Linked DNA regions of Macaca fascicularis. The protein of the gene in region 1 purifies or fractionates together with the protein of each later gene. This does not show direct contact. Links are inferred from orthologs where the notes say so. Each region holds a gene or a part of one and is shown on either strand. Other genes may lie near its edges. The genes, in order: CD151, ITGB1 and ITGA3.

The links.
Region 2: the proteins of CD151 (region 1) and ITGB1 purify together in Homo sapiens (affinity purification with western blotting; 4 studies listed by BioGRID and IntAct, with this or other methods). This does not show direct contact. The link is inferred for Macaca fascicularis from reciprocal best matches to the Homo sapiens genes CD151 and ITGB1.
Region 3: the proteins of CD151 (region 1) and ITGA3 purify together in Homo sapiens (co-immunoprecipitation; 4 studies listed by BioGRID and IntAct, with this or other methods). This does not show direct contact. The link is inferred for Macaca fascicularis from reciprocal best matches to the Homo sapiens genes CD151 and ITGA3.

Annotation. Positions count from the first base shown.
Region 1 is NC_088388.1:734,650-738,906, reverse strand, and holds the start of CD151 (CD151 antigen), read right to left. Parts: upstream 2,801-4,257; 5' UTR 2,553-2,800; intron 1,834-2,552; exon of another isoform or gene 1,675-1,833; intron 981-1,674; 5' UTR 919-980; intron 232-918; 5' UTR 82-231; coding exon 1-81. Other genes in the region: CRACR2B (EF-hand calcium-binding domain-containing protein 4A), read right to left, coding at 4,037-4,211. UniProt on the Homo sapiens protein: Structural component of specialized membrane microdomains known as tetraspanin-enriched microdomains (TERMs), which act as platforms for receptor clustering and signaling.
Region 2 is NC_088383.1:33,709,449-33,713,693, reverse strand, and holds the start of ITGB1 (integrin beta-1), read left to right. Parts: upstream 1-1,445; 5' UTR 1,446-1,548; intron 1,549-1,721; exon of another isoform or gene 1,722-2,645; intron 2,646-4,245.
Region 3 is NC_088390.1:56,644,002-56,647,501, forward strand, and holds part of ITGA3 (integrin alpha-3), read right to left. Parts: intron 2,528-3,500; coding exon 2,441-2,527; intron 2,045-2,440; coding exon 1,837-2,044; intron 1,365-1,836; coding exon 1,168-1,364; intron 1-1,167.

The DNA.
Region 1 (4,257 bases):
GAAGCAGCAGTTGTAGGTAAACAGCAGGTACTTGAGGCAAACGGTGCCACATGTTGTCTTCTTCTCGTTAAACTCACCCATCCTGGGGCTGGGGAGGCAGGGGAGGGGTCAGCGGGGCCACAGCACCAGACCCCTGACAGGGACAGATAGGAGGAGGGAACACAGATGCCCAAGCCAGCCCAGGAGTCGGGTGGAGCCAGCCACTGTCCTGGGAGACCTGCGAAGGAGCCCCTGTGGGAACATGACGTGTCACCTCCTAGCGACTCAGGAGCCCTGACCAGGTGCAGCCACGAGAGACCCCTGGTGCCCACAGATAGGCCAGGGGTCATGGAGGACCGCCCATCATCACTGCTGACTCATCCCTGCTGGCGGCCCGGGGAGGAAGCCCTAGCGGGTACCTCCGGTGAGCTCATGCCAGCCTGCCCGCCCCCCACGGCATTCCCGGGGCCCCACGTCACAGGCTGACAGGAGACTACGGGCCTTCAGTGAGGGCGGAGGAGGCCACTCAGAGACAGAGACAGCAAAGGGGCAGAGGCTCAGACAGGCCCCAGCTCAGCCCCTTCCTAAGGCTCTCCAGGCCTGTTTACGGTCTGTTAAAGGGCAGCCCTTCCTTCCTCCTGGCCCGAGTGGGGAGAATGGAGCGTGGAGGCAGGTGGAGTCTGGCAGACTGGGAGGGTTTTTCCTGGACAGGGGACCCACACCAACACGAGGGGGCAGCACAGACAGGCTGTGCCCCTCCCCAGAGGCCCCGTGCCCTGCCCAACATGCAGCAGCGGGCAAGCTGTGAGCACAGGGAAGGCAGGGACCGCGTGGGGTGCAGACAGCAGGTGAGCGCCCCGGGCCACGTTTCCAGACAGCACAGCCAGGCCTGGACTTTCACCGCCCCGCTTGCTCTGCCCCACCCTGCCCAGCACACACCAACCGGGCTAGGAACGACTCTTCTGCAGGACAGGTGGACAGAAGCTCCCCAGGACTCTAGGCTAGAGGGGCAAGGACACGTCAGGTCACAGGTTACACGTCTGGCCCAAGGGCCAGAGTGGGCTGGGTTCATTCTGGAGGCAGAGAGAGGAGTGGCCAAGCCTGGTATTTTAGTCTGGGCTAGGGTGGGGCAAGGCAGAGGACATTTCTTTTCTTTTTTTCCTTTTTTTTTTTTTTTTTTGAGACGGAGTCTCACTGTGTCGCCCAGGCTGGAGTGCAGTGGTGGGATCTCAGCTCACTGCAAGCTCCGCTTCCCGGGTTCGCGCCATTCTCCTGCCTCAGCCTCCCAAGTAGCTGGGACTACAGGCGCCCGCCACCCGCCCGGCTAGTTTTTTGTATTTTTTTAGTAGAGACGGGGTTTCACCGTGTTGGCCAGGATGGTCTCGATCTCCCGACCTCATGATCTGCCCGTCTTGGCCTCCCAAAGTGCTGGGATTACAGGCTTGAGCCACCGTGCCCGGCCTTTTTCCTTTTTTTGAGATGGAGTTTCGCTCTGTCACCCAGGCTGGAGTGCAATGGTATGATCTCGATCTTGGCTCACTGCAACCTCCACCTCCTGAGTTCTAGCAATTCTCCTGCCTCATTCTCCTGAGTCATTGGGATCACAGGCGCCCACCACCACGCCCAGCTAATGTTTGTATTTTTAGTAGAGACAGGGTTTCACCATGTTGACCAGGCTGGTCTTGAACTCCTGACCTTAGGTGGTCCACCCGCCTTGGCCTCCCAAGGCAGAGGACATTCCCGGACAGTGTCTGATCCTGGGAGGGACCTCATGCCTTCCCCAGGTGCCCCACTCTTGGCCTTCGCTCCAGGCCCATCACTGGCCCTTCTGCCCCAAACAGCAGCAGCTACAGCCTGGGAAAGTAGCATCATGAAGCTCGCGGGGACAGACCTGACCACTGAGCTGAGAGGGGACATTCACCCTCCATGAAGCCCAGGGCCTAAATACACGCACGAGGGGTGGCACGAGCAGACCCTGCCACCAGCGGGGCGGTGTGCCTGCCACCGATGGGGGGGATGTGTGTCTGTCACTGAGCTGGGGGGATGTGTGAGCCCCTCACGGATGTGCCCCTGGCCTGGCTGTGAGGTCCCAGGCTTTCTGGAGAGGCTGGTTCAAGGCACAGATGCGGCCTCCACCGCGAGGACACAGGCGACCCGCTGCGGAGTGGCCCCTCTTCCCAGGAATGCCTAGTCCCTCTGAACCCCCTGGGAAAAGGCCATCCAAAAATAGCTCTCCGGCCCTCCCCGAGTCCCCGGGACCCGCACCAGGCCCCTGGGCGACCCGCGCCCTATCAGGGGGAGCCCCAGTCAGGAGGACCTGGGACTCCGCGCCTGCCAAGCGTCCCCGCGGCACTGCAATGAGGTCACCGCCGCCGACCCCGCCCGGCGCGGCCAATGGCGCGCCCACTTGCACGCGGGCGGGGGCGGCTGCGGGCGGAGGGAAGGCTGCCGTGTCCAGGGACAATGAGCAGGGTGTCCAGGCTGCGCGTCCCGGGACCCCTGGGCCGAAGGGTGCCGTCAGGCCGGTCCAAGAGTCCGGGAGGCGCCTCTCCTTGCCACTGCGCCTCCCTCACCCGACCGGCGTCCGCCTCCCGCGGAAGGGCCTGCGAAGGAGCTGGGCCAGGCGGTGGGTGCGGCCTCCCGGAACCTCCCGGCGCCTGCGGCTGGGCCTCCGGGACTGGGGCGCGCAGGGCCTTCGGCCTCCTCGTTCCCCTCGCCCCGCTCGGTCGGGCTGCCGTGACGTCGCACTCACCTACCACTCGTCGGAGTCCGGGACCGGGCGGCGGCGGCTGCGGGGGCGGCGGCTCCCAGCGCTGAGAATGCGCGGCCCGGCGCCTCCGAGGGGGACGCCCCGCCCCGCCCAGGCCCCGCCCCGGCCTCAAGCCCCGCCCGGGGCGTCAGGAGCTCGACAGGTCTGAACCCGCGTGGCGGGCGGGAGCCGGTGGGTGTAGGCGCTGGGGGTCGACCCGACACTGCGGAGGCCGGGCGAGTTGCAGCCCTGGGGGTGCCAACAGCCCATCAAGGGCTCATCCGGTCCAGGGACAGAGGAGCTGGGCGGGAGGCGGGCCCGGAGATAACACGGCAACCAGCCCAGCCAGAGGGCCTGGGCTGTGGCGACCGGGCCCTCCTCCATGCCTAACCCCCATCTCTTTCTCAGCACCCAGGAACCGCCCAGAGGCTGCAGGGGTCGGCAGAACGGATGCCGGCCTGGGGGAGGGGAGGGCCTAGCGCTGTGGGTAGATGCAGGAGAGGGGCTACTCTGCGTGCAGTGTGGACAGCCTGGAGACCCGGGCAGGCCTGGGGTCCCAGCGAGAGATACCCATGGGGTTCTGGGGGGCCCATGCCCTCTAGACTGGAAGGGGCCACTGGGAGCGGTGGGAGGAGGTGAAGGAGGAATGGTAGGGCCGGCCTAGGGCTGCACCAAGAGGCGGAGAGTGGGAGTGAGGAAGGAGGGGGCTCCCCACCCACCAAGCTCATTCATCACTGCCACAGGTGAGGACCAGAATGGGAGGGGGTGGCCGACTGAGGCTAGGAACTGCCGGGGCTCCCTGGTGAGACAGTGGGGAACCCTGATCCACACACTGGCGAGGGCCTTGTGGAGGCTCCAGCCTTGATGGGTAGTGTGAGTTTGGGGCATAACCAGGGACACAAGAGGACACGCAGGACCTCAGCCCCATCGCCGCAGGCCCGTGCTCCCTGTGTTCACCCACACAGCACGTGTGCACAGTGCCCACCTCATGCATGTGGCACACACAGGCTGTGGCCCCCAGATGCACGGAAGGCCCAGGAGGATGCAGTGCAGTCAGTAGGTTTTATTTGATGAGGGGGGTTTTCTGCTGAACTGAGTTGGGGTTGCTTGGGGACAGAGCGAAGGCTGGCAGAGGGCACACGGGACCCTGACCACTCCCAGGCTAGGTCCTTCATGTCTTCAGTTCTTCAGTCAGGCGATCCTGGGGCCCCCTGGGGAGAGCCCACATCCTGAGTGGGTACCCCCTACCCATGACAAGCCTCCCAGAAGAGCAGCTTCTAGCTGATGCTCTGAGTCACTCGGAGCTGGTCACCGGGCACTGGGAAGGTGGCCAGAGCCTCGTCTGTGGGGCCGAGCCCAGCAGCAGCAGCAGCAGCAGGTGGGCCCAGGCAGGTGGGCAGTCGTCAGAGCCTTCCTGCGGCTGCCACTTGCCCGCCTGGCCTCGCAGGCGTCCCTGTCATCCCGCAGCCGTGTGTTCAGTTCCCTAGGAGAGGAGGAGTCAGACATTGAGAGGGTCTGAGGGAGCTCAA
Region 2 (4,245 bases), on another chromosome or scaffold:
TACAGTTTTCTGTAATGAGACTGGGCTAATTCTGATGAATTCTCAACAATGGTAAAATCCATACCTTTAAAATTCAAGAATGTTGTGTTCTAATGGCAGTTTGACCATTGAGATATTAACATAGGAACATCATTTAGCCTCTTAAGCTTGAACATCCATTAAGCGGGAAAAATAGTGCTTATTTCCTAGAGGTCTGCAGACATTGGCTAACCAATAGTTTTGATTTTGCTGGTAAGTAATGTGCAAATTTTCTTAGATGTGATCGCCTCATTTTCTCTTATATTTTAGATTGGCAGCAGCCAAATGGGCGTTCCAGCCCCTCATCTCCTGCAAGATTCTTCTCAGTTTCATAAATCTGGTAATTTTTGAGCTCTTTTCCCAACAGGGTGCTGCAGCTCACCAAGTGGAACCTACAACATTTTCTGCTACCAGGATAGCAGCTTGCCAGCAGCGTATACTGAAATTACTGGGTTTCAGTATGATGTTGGTTGGTACGAACTTCAATCATCGAATCGACATGCGCCCAGCCATTCTCATAATGAATGTTTCCTTCTCTTTCAAACGTTCTGTTTCCAGCCCCCATCTCCTTTTTTTTTTTCTTTTTTAAAGAGGTTTGAAACAGAAACTCTACTCCGTAGGAAGAAACTTTTCCTTCTCATCCCTGTTCCCCATAAAGGGACCTCCAGATAAATCTATCAAAAGCAGGACCCAACTCACCAGGTTTTCTAAAACGTTCCCCAGTCCCACCACCCTTCGTGGCACCCACGGGTTTCCCAAGTCTTCACCTTTCTCTTAGACACACGCTAGCACATTATCACTCCAGAAAAGCAGTCCTGGCTTAGCCAGTTCCCTTCCAGAATGACCACGTGGTTTTTGGCCCCATGGAGTCCTGCAGGGTATGGGGGGGTTCATGGTACCGATTTGCCTCGGGACTGAGGGGGCTTCCGGGATGCAGGACCTCCCGGGCTCTCAACGGGACATCAGTGGACAAACGGGAGGGAGGGTCGGACACGCGGATCCGAGGAAGCGGAACTTAAAGAACACGGGCCCAGCAGGCTACACCAGGAACGCGCGGGGCTTTAGGGCGCAACCGACCCCTCCCGCCCTTCACAGAGGAGGAAACTGAGGCATGGCGACTGTCTCAGCGGAGTCCCGGCCCTGCCCTCCACGGCCTCCCTCAGGCGCGCTCCCGAGCGGGCCAGTTCCTTTGTCCCGGTCGCGCTTCCTGCCTCCTCCTGCGCCTCCTCCTCGCCCCGGGGCCGGGCTGACGCGGCGGGAGAGGAATGCGTTTCCGGAGGGAGAGGGCGGTGGCGGCCTCGGGAGCGGGATCAGACGCGCAGAGGAGGCGGGGCCGCGGCTGGTTTCCTGCCGGGGGGCGGCTCTGGGCCGCCGAGTCCCCTCCTCCCGCCCCTGAGGAGGAGGAGCCGCCGCCACCCGCCGCGCCCGAGACTCGGGAGGCCCCGCCAGCCCGCAGGAGAGGCCGAGCGGGAGTCGCGGAACAGCAGGCCGGAGCCCACCGCGCCGGGGCCCGGACGCCGCGCGGAGAAGGTAGGCGCCGGCGGGCCTCGGGTGTGGGGGTGCGGGCCGCGGCCTCGGGTCTGCGGTGCGCAACAGCACTTAACAGCCGCCGGCCCGGGCCGCGCCGGGACCTTTGTGCCAGGCGTGGGGGCGGGGGCGGGGGCGGCCGCGGGCCGGTGGGGGCTGGGGCGGGATTCCAGGCTAGTCCGGGAGGAAGTCCGCACACCGCCACCCCCCTCGGGTCCCAGGCGCTGGCAGCGTCCGGGCGCCGAGTCGGCCCAGCCGCGTTCCGAGCGCTAGGGTCGCGGGCCTGGGCGCTGTCACGTCGGGGCTGCTGGAGCTGCGGAGGACCGGGCCTGAGCGGCTCCTGACACCTGCGGTCTCCCGCCAGGCTGGGCGAGCGCAGGTGGGAGCCAGCGAGGCCACCCGGGGCTCGGCGTTTAGGACTCAGCGCGCCCCTGGACTGGTCCTGCGCCTTTGTCTCTCGCTCCCTCGCTGGCTGCTGTTTTTGGAGCAGCGTCGAGCCGGCCGTCGGCGCCCGCTGTTGGGACTGGTCTTCTCCGACTGGAGCCGGGATAGAAAGTGGCCTCGCGGAGCCGCTGGGGACCGGGGGCGCGGCGGCGGCAGTGCAGTTCACTTCCCGGTGTTTATAAACGCGAATGCCGGGAAGTCAAGAGTCGCCGGCCCCTGCCGGGCACCCCGGGACCAGGACACAGGGCCACGGCCACTTTGCGCTCAGACCCGGTCCGCGAGCCTGAGAGCCCGTCCTGTGTCTAGTATCATTTTTACCGCGTGTCATTTCTTAGGCTTCATAAATTGGATTTATGAGACTCCCACTCTCTAAGTAACTTTCATTTAATCAAATTCGTGCTTTTAAGTCCAAAGCTTTGCACTCATTGGTATGATCATTAGTAAATTGCATTCTCTAAGCTTCCGTTTCCTCATCTGTGAAATAGGAACAATACTACCTACACTAATAATTCATTTTTATAACAATGACAGCGAGGGCCAGGTTTAGCTCTAGGCATTTCATGTGTATTATTTAATTCTGGAACTGCTCTAATGAGATTGCTACTGTTTCTATTTCCATTTTCCGAGTGAAGAAACGGAGGCACAGGGAGCAAAAAGTAAGTTGCATATGGTCATCGGGAGCTCCTGGAGAAGGCATGGGGTCTAGCTCCAGAGCCTACGTTTAAACCAAAAGTAACCTTCCTAACTATAGTCGTGAAAATCAAATGCAAAATGTAAAACACTTAGCTTGAGAGTAGATGCTCAATGAATATTGACTGCTTTTCAGCCCTTCTTTTATAGTAAAAAGATTTCTCGGAAGGTAATTGGTAACATCATTAGTAAGGTTTCTTTGGGCCAACGTGCCACATGGATAACAGGTGGATAGAATTGCTAGGTTATTTTGTTTTGTTTTGAGACAGGGTCTCTGTCGCCCAGGCTGGAGTGCAGAGGAGCTATCACAGCTCACTGCAGCCTCAGCCTCTCGTGCTTAAGTTATTTTTCCACCTCAGCCACCTGAGTAGCTGGAACGACAGGCGCCTGCCACCATGCCCGGCTAATTTTTTAATTTTTTGTAGAGACAGGATTTCACTATGCTGCCCAGGCTGGCCTCAAACTCCTAGGCTCAAGCAGTCCTCTCTCCTAGAGCTCCCAAAGTGTTGGGATTACAGACTTGAGCCCCCTGAGCCTGGCCCTTAGGTTATTATTATTTTTCTTATTGTACTTCTGATGCTACAAAAATAACGTTCTAGAGGAATTTAGACATCTTTCTTAAACCACATATGCCCTTTACGATAGGGTATACAATAGGCCACTTTTAGAAATGATTAAGGAACTTTAGTTGGCAGTTACCTGTTCATTTGTGGACATCAAGGCCCAGAGGGGTCAGGACTTAGAGTCTCACTGTAATTCTCATATTTTTAAATAATGTTGGCTCATTGATCAATATTATATAAGTGACTGAAGATGGTGAAGTGTTAAATAAAAAACATTGGTATTTTGATTACAGGCATTTGGGGGGAAAGCCATTTTACTTACCCCAAAATTGAGTATGAAGGTGGAAGATGTTATTAGAATACTAGCTAAAAGGACAAAGAATGTGGTTAATAGTTTAATTGTGTAAAAAGGAAGCAAATAGACTGTTTAACTCATCTATGTTGACTTCAGACCTAGACCTACAATTTTATGTGATTTTCCTAACAATGTAAAGTTCTGTATTAAAGTTATTTTTGAATACCTTCAACATTCTGTACATGAAATGCATGGAATCAACAATTCTGAAAGTCACTGCATTTAGTAATTTTAACAATTAGGCAGCTTTCTTCTTAGCTTTCTGGTCAGTATAATTTAATTTAAATCAGCCCCAAATTACCATCACGAATGAAAATGTAGTTCTACATTGGTGTTCTTCCTAACTCTGGGAGTGACACTGGGGACAAATGGTCATACTATAATAATGAAAAGTGGTCAAACAACATGGTGCCAGTTTTTCTAAGAGTGCTTGCCACTGATTTTAATGTCTTTATTGTTTGACTTCTTGATAAGTAAGTTGTGGCTTACAGCAGGGAGTAGTACAGTGTTCTGTCCGAAAAAAATATTCATTAATATTCTGTAGCTGCTCTGGTTTGCCCTTAACCATGCTGCTAGTGTGATAAGCTGAAACATCTTGTAAAAGTTTCAGAGAGCTTTCAAGTTCCGAGAACTTAACTTTCTGAGTAT
Region 3 (3,500 bases), on another chromosome or scaffold:
GACACTCCAAAAACCCAGAGTTGCACAACCATTGAGTGTAGAGAAGAGGAAATTTGAGCCCAGGTCCGTCTCACAGCAGTGGCTGGGATTTTAACCATAACACTACAGCGAACATCACTGAAAGTGTCAAGGCTTTTAACATTCTAATCATTATCTCCACAAATAAACCCCAAGTGTTGGGTTATCTTCTTAAACTGAACTCTTCCCAGTTTGCAGCTTTGGATCAGATAAGGCCTAGGGAATCAGCAAGCCAAGCTTGTTAGTAAGCCCTGTAAAGAGAGCGGAAGCAGGTCCCAGGCAGAAACCAAATGACTTCCACAGTGCACACTTGGCCTCTGTTGACTGAACTTTCTGGCACCTAGTTTGGGTCTTCAGAGGCTCCTTTGCCTTCCTCTTCATTCTCAGCTATGTCCTGGGAAACTGAGGTTATCAGCAAAGTGACTTTCAGAAAAGCCAGGTGCCCCTATGGCACTGACTCCAGCCCTGGGTCTGCCCCTGTCCCTGATACCCCAGGTCCGATTGGTTCCCAAGTCCTGCAGAACACTTATGAGGACCCCTATATCCAGGGCTCCCACCTTGTCCCATTCCTTATCATCCCCTACCTGAGATATTACATTCTTGATCTTCACTCCCCTAGCCTTGCTCCACCCCTGCACTCACTCATCCCATACCCCTTCCAGAATCATCCTTCAGGGTACAAAGTTATTATATCACATCTGTGCCCTAAAACTCTCTCTGGATGCCCCACCACCCCACCATCACCATTACCCAAATATAAATCCCTAAGATACTCCGCCTGGCTTTCAAATCATCCACTCTCACCCCACCCTACTCCACTCCCTCTTCAGCCTCCTCTCTGATGTGAACACTCCACACCTGCAGGTTTGGGCACACCAGGCCAGTTTCCATGCCCGTGTTGTGTCCCATCAGTTCTCTACTGTGCACTCTCAGCCCAGCCTTGGCTGCACAGCAGCATGCAAGCTCCTCCAGGAGGCCACTGAGCTTGCCTCTGTTGCTCCCTCTGCACACCTGCACATCCTCTCTCTAGTACTGCTGCGAGCTCCCCAGGTCCGGCCCAATCCTGTCTCATCTGTGGGCCCTGTCAAGCCTGGTGTGCAGCTGGCGCTCAGTCAGCAGGGGTGCTGGGGGAGGGGTGTTGGCTTATACCCTGAAATCCATCCTGGTTGATGTCACCAATGCTGGCCACGGATAAGCCGAAGGCGGAGCCACTGGGGCCATGAAGAAGAAGCGAGGGGTGAGCAGGGAAGGAGGTTCCCGCCTGGTTCATGAAGACATAGACGGCACCCCCTACCTCCTCTTTCCTCTCAAAGTAGTAGGGGGCGCCCACCAGGAGGTCCTGCCACCTGCACAGGAGAGAAGGAGAGGGAAATGGGAGTGTGAGGTCAGCCTCCAATATGCAGCATAGCTCTTGTTTGACAGGCGTGACTGTGCCAGGGCACAGGGCTCTGTAAATGGCTCTTTTGGCCACAGGTCATGGGTGGGAAGGACATGTGCATGGGAAGGACATGGAGATGCCAATATGACTCCCCAAATAGAAGACATATGTCATGGCGATGCCATGCAGGCACAGATCAAACCCAAACAACCCACATCCACTGAAGCATACAAATCCCAAGCAGAAACAAGCATATGCAGGGGTCCCACAAATGCCATGTGCAAATGCCCAGACTCCCATAAAGCCTGATTGCAAACCCCTGCAAACAACATGCAGACAGCTGTACAACTGCAAATCCTCCACTCCCCTGACCTGGCTTAGGTAAGCCTTCCCCCACCCATCGCTCTCCCTGGCCCCAGAGGATGTCCCTAGATTCTCACCCATCGTTGTTCAGGTCTGCCAGGGCAATGGCGCTGCCAAAATAGGCGCCCACCTGCGAGCCCTCCAGCACCTGCCTCCTCCGCAGGTCTCCGCCTGCCTCCTGGCTCAGCAAGAAGACCGCGCCCATATGTCGGTGCCGTGGGGCACCTGTCACAATGGTGATGTTTTTGGGGTGCAAGATGGCGCTGCCTACCTGCACCGTGTACCCTGGGATAGAGGGAAGATGTTCAACCAAGGTCCCAGTCAACTTTGTCTCTTTCTACTCTGGACCCATCTCCCTATCCCCTCCTTTGGTTTGCCCCCCACCATGATGTTCTATCCCACTATTCCAAGTAGGGCAAGTAAGTAGACTCCAGATGGCCAGCAGCCATGCCCCATCCCAGCCCTGGTTCTGCCTGGACACTGGACTGTGAGTATCCTAAAGGCAAGAACTTTGCATCTTGAGAGCTTGGAACAGGGCCTGGCATACAGGTGCTGGTCAATCTGCATGTGCTAGTTTAACTAAATGCCATTAGTCACAACTGCACTCTGGCCTCACATTTCCACCACGGACTAAGCCCCCTTCCCCTCTATCACTCGATGGGCTACCACTACTGTACTCACCAATATAGAGGTTTCCTTGGTCCTCTGGGTCCTTGTAACTATACTCAGATAAGTCCCACTCCTTACGCTGAATCATGTAGCTGTTTCCTTCACAGGGATTGAGGGAGGGAGAGTAGGGAGTATAAGTCACCACTGGTTTCCTCTACCATGTCCAGCCCACCCCCATCCCCACCCAACAAGGATAATAATAACCCCTTTTATTGGTGAGCACTTTGCCATTTATTAATCACATCCTCTTTAACAATTACTTTTTCCTCTTTTTTTTTTTTTTTTTTTTTTTTGAGACAGAGTCTCGCTCTTGTTGCCCAGGCTGGAGTGCAGTGGTGTGATCTTGGCTCACTGCAACCTCAGCTTCCCAGATTCAAGTGATTCTCCTACCTCAGCCTTCTGAGTAGCTGGGATTACAGGCGTGTGCCACCATGCCCGGCTAATTTTTGTATTTTTAGTAGAGACAGTGGTCAGGCTGGTCTCGAACTCCTGGCCTCAAGTAATCCGTCTGCCTCAGCCTCCCAAAGTGCTGGGATTACAGGTGTGAGCCACTGCACCTGGCCTATTTTAACAATTCTTCGAGGTGAAATTATGACCCCCGTTTTGCAGATGAGAAAAGTGAGACTCGGGAGGGAAGTTGACCTGCTCATAATCCCATGGGGAGCTGGTTGTTACAGCCATGGCTAGAACTTAATCATTCAGGCGCCTGGATATTAGAAGCTAGATGGCTTTCCCCACTCTCTAGACACTGAGGTCAGACTCCACACCATTACCTCTTTCTGGTCCTGACCCCAAACTTGGGCTGCCTAGCTGGACCCTGCACCCAGGGCTGCTGCTGGAGAGTATCTGTGACCCTGCCAAGGTGTGACATGACCAGGGGGTGGAAGGCAGGAGCAGAAGAGGGGGCAGAGGCCTCAGCCTTCAGTGAGCCCAGAGCTGTGACTATGCCTGGGGCTACCTGTTGGTCAGGAGGAGATTCAAGGCTCCTCTGCCTGCTGATTCTGCAACAACAAAGGTTCAGTAAGGGAAAAGGGGTCACTATTGCTAACCTGTGTGATGGAGGGAGGCAAAG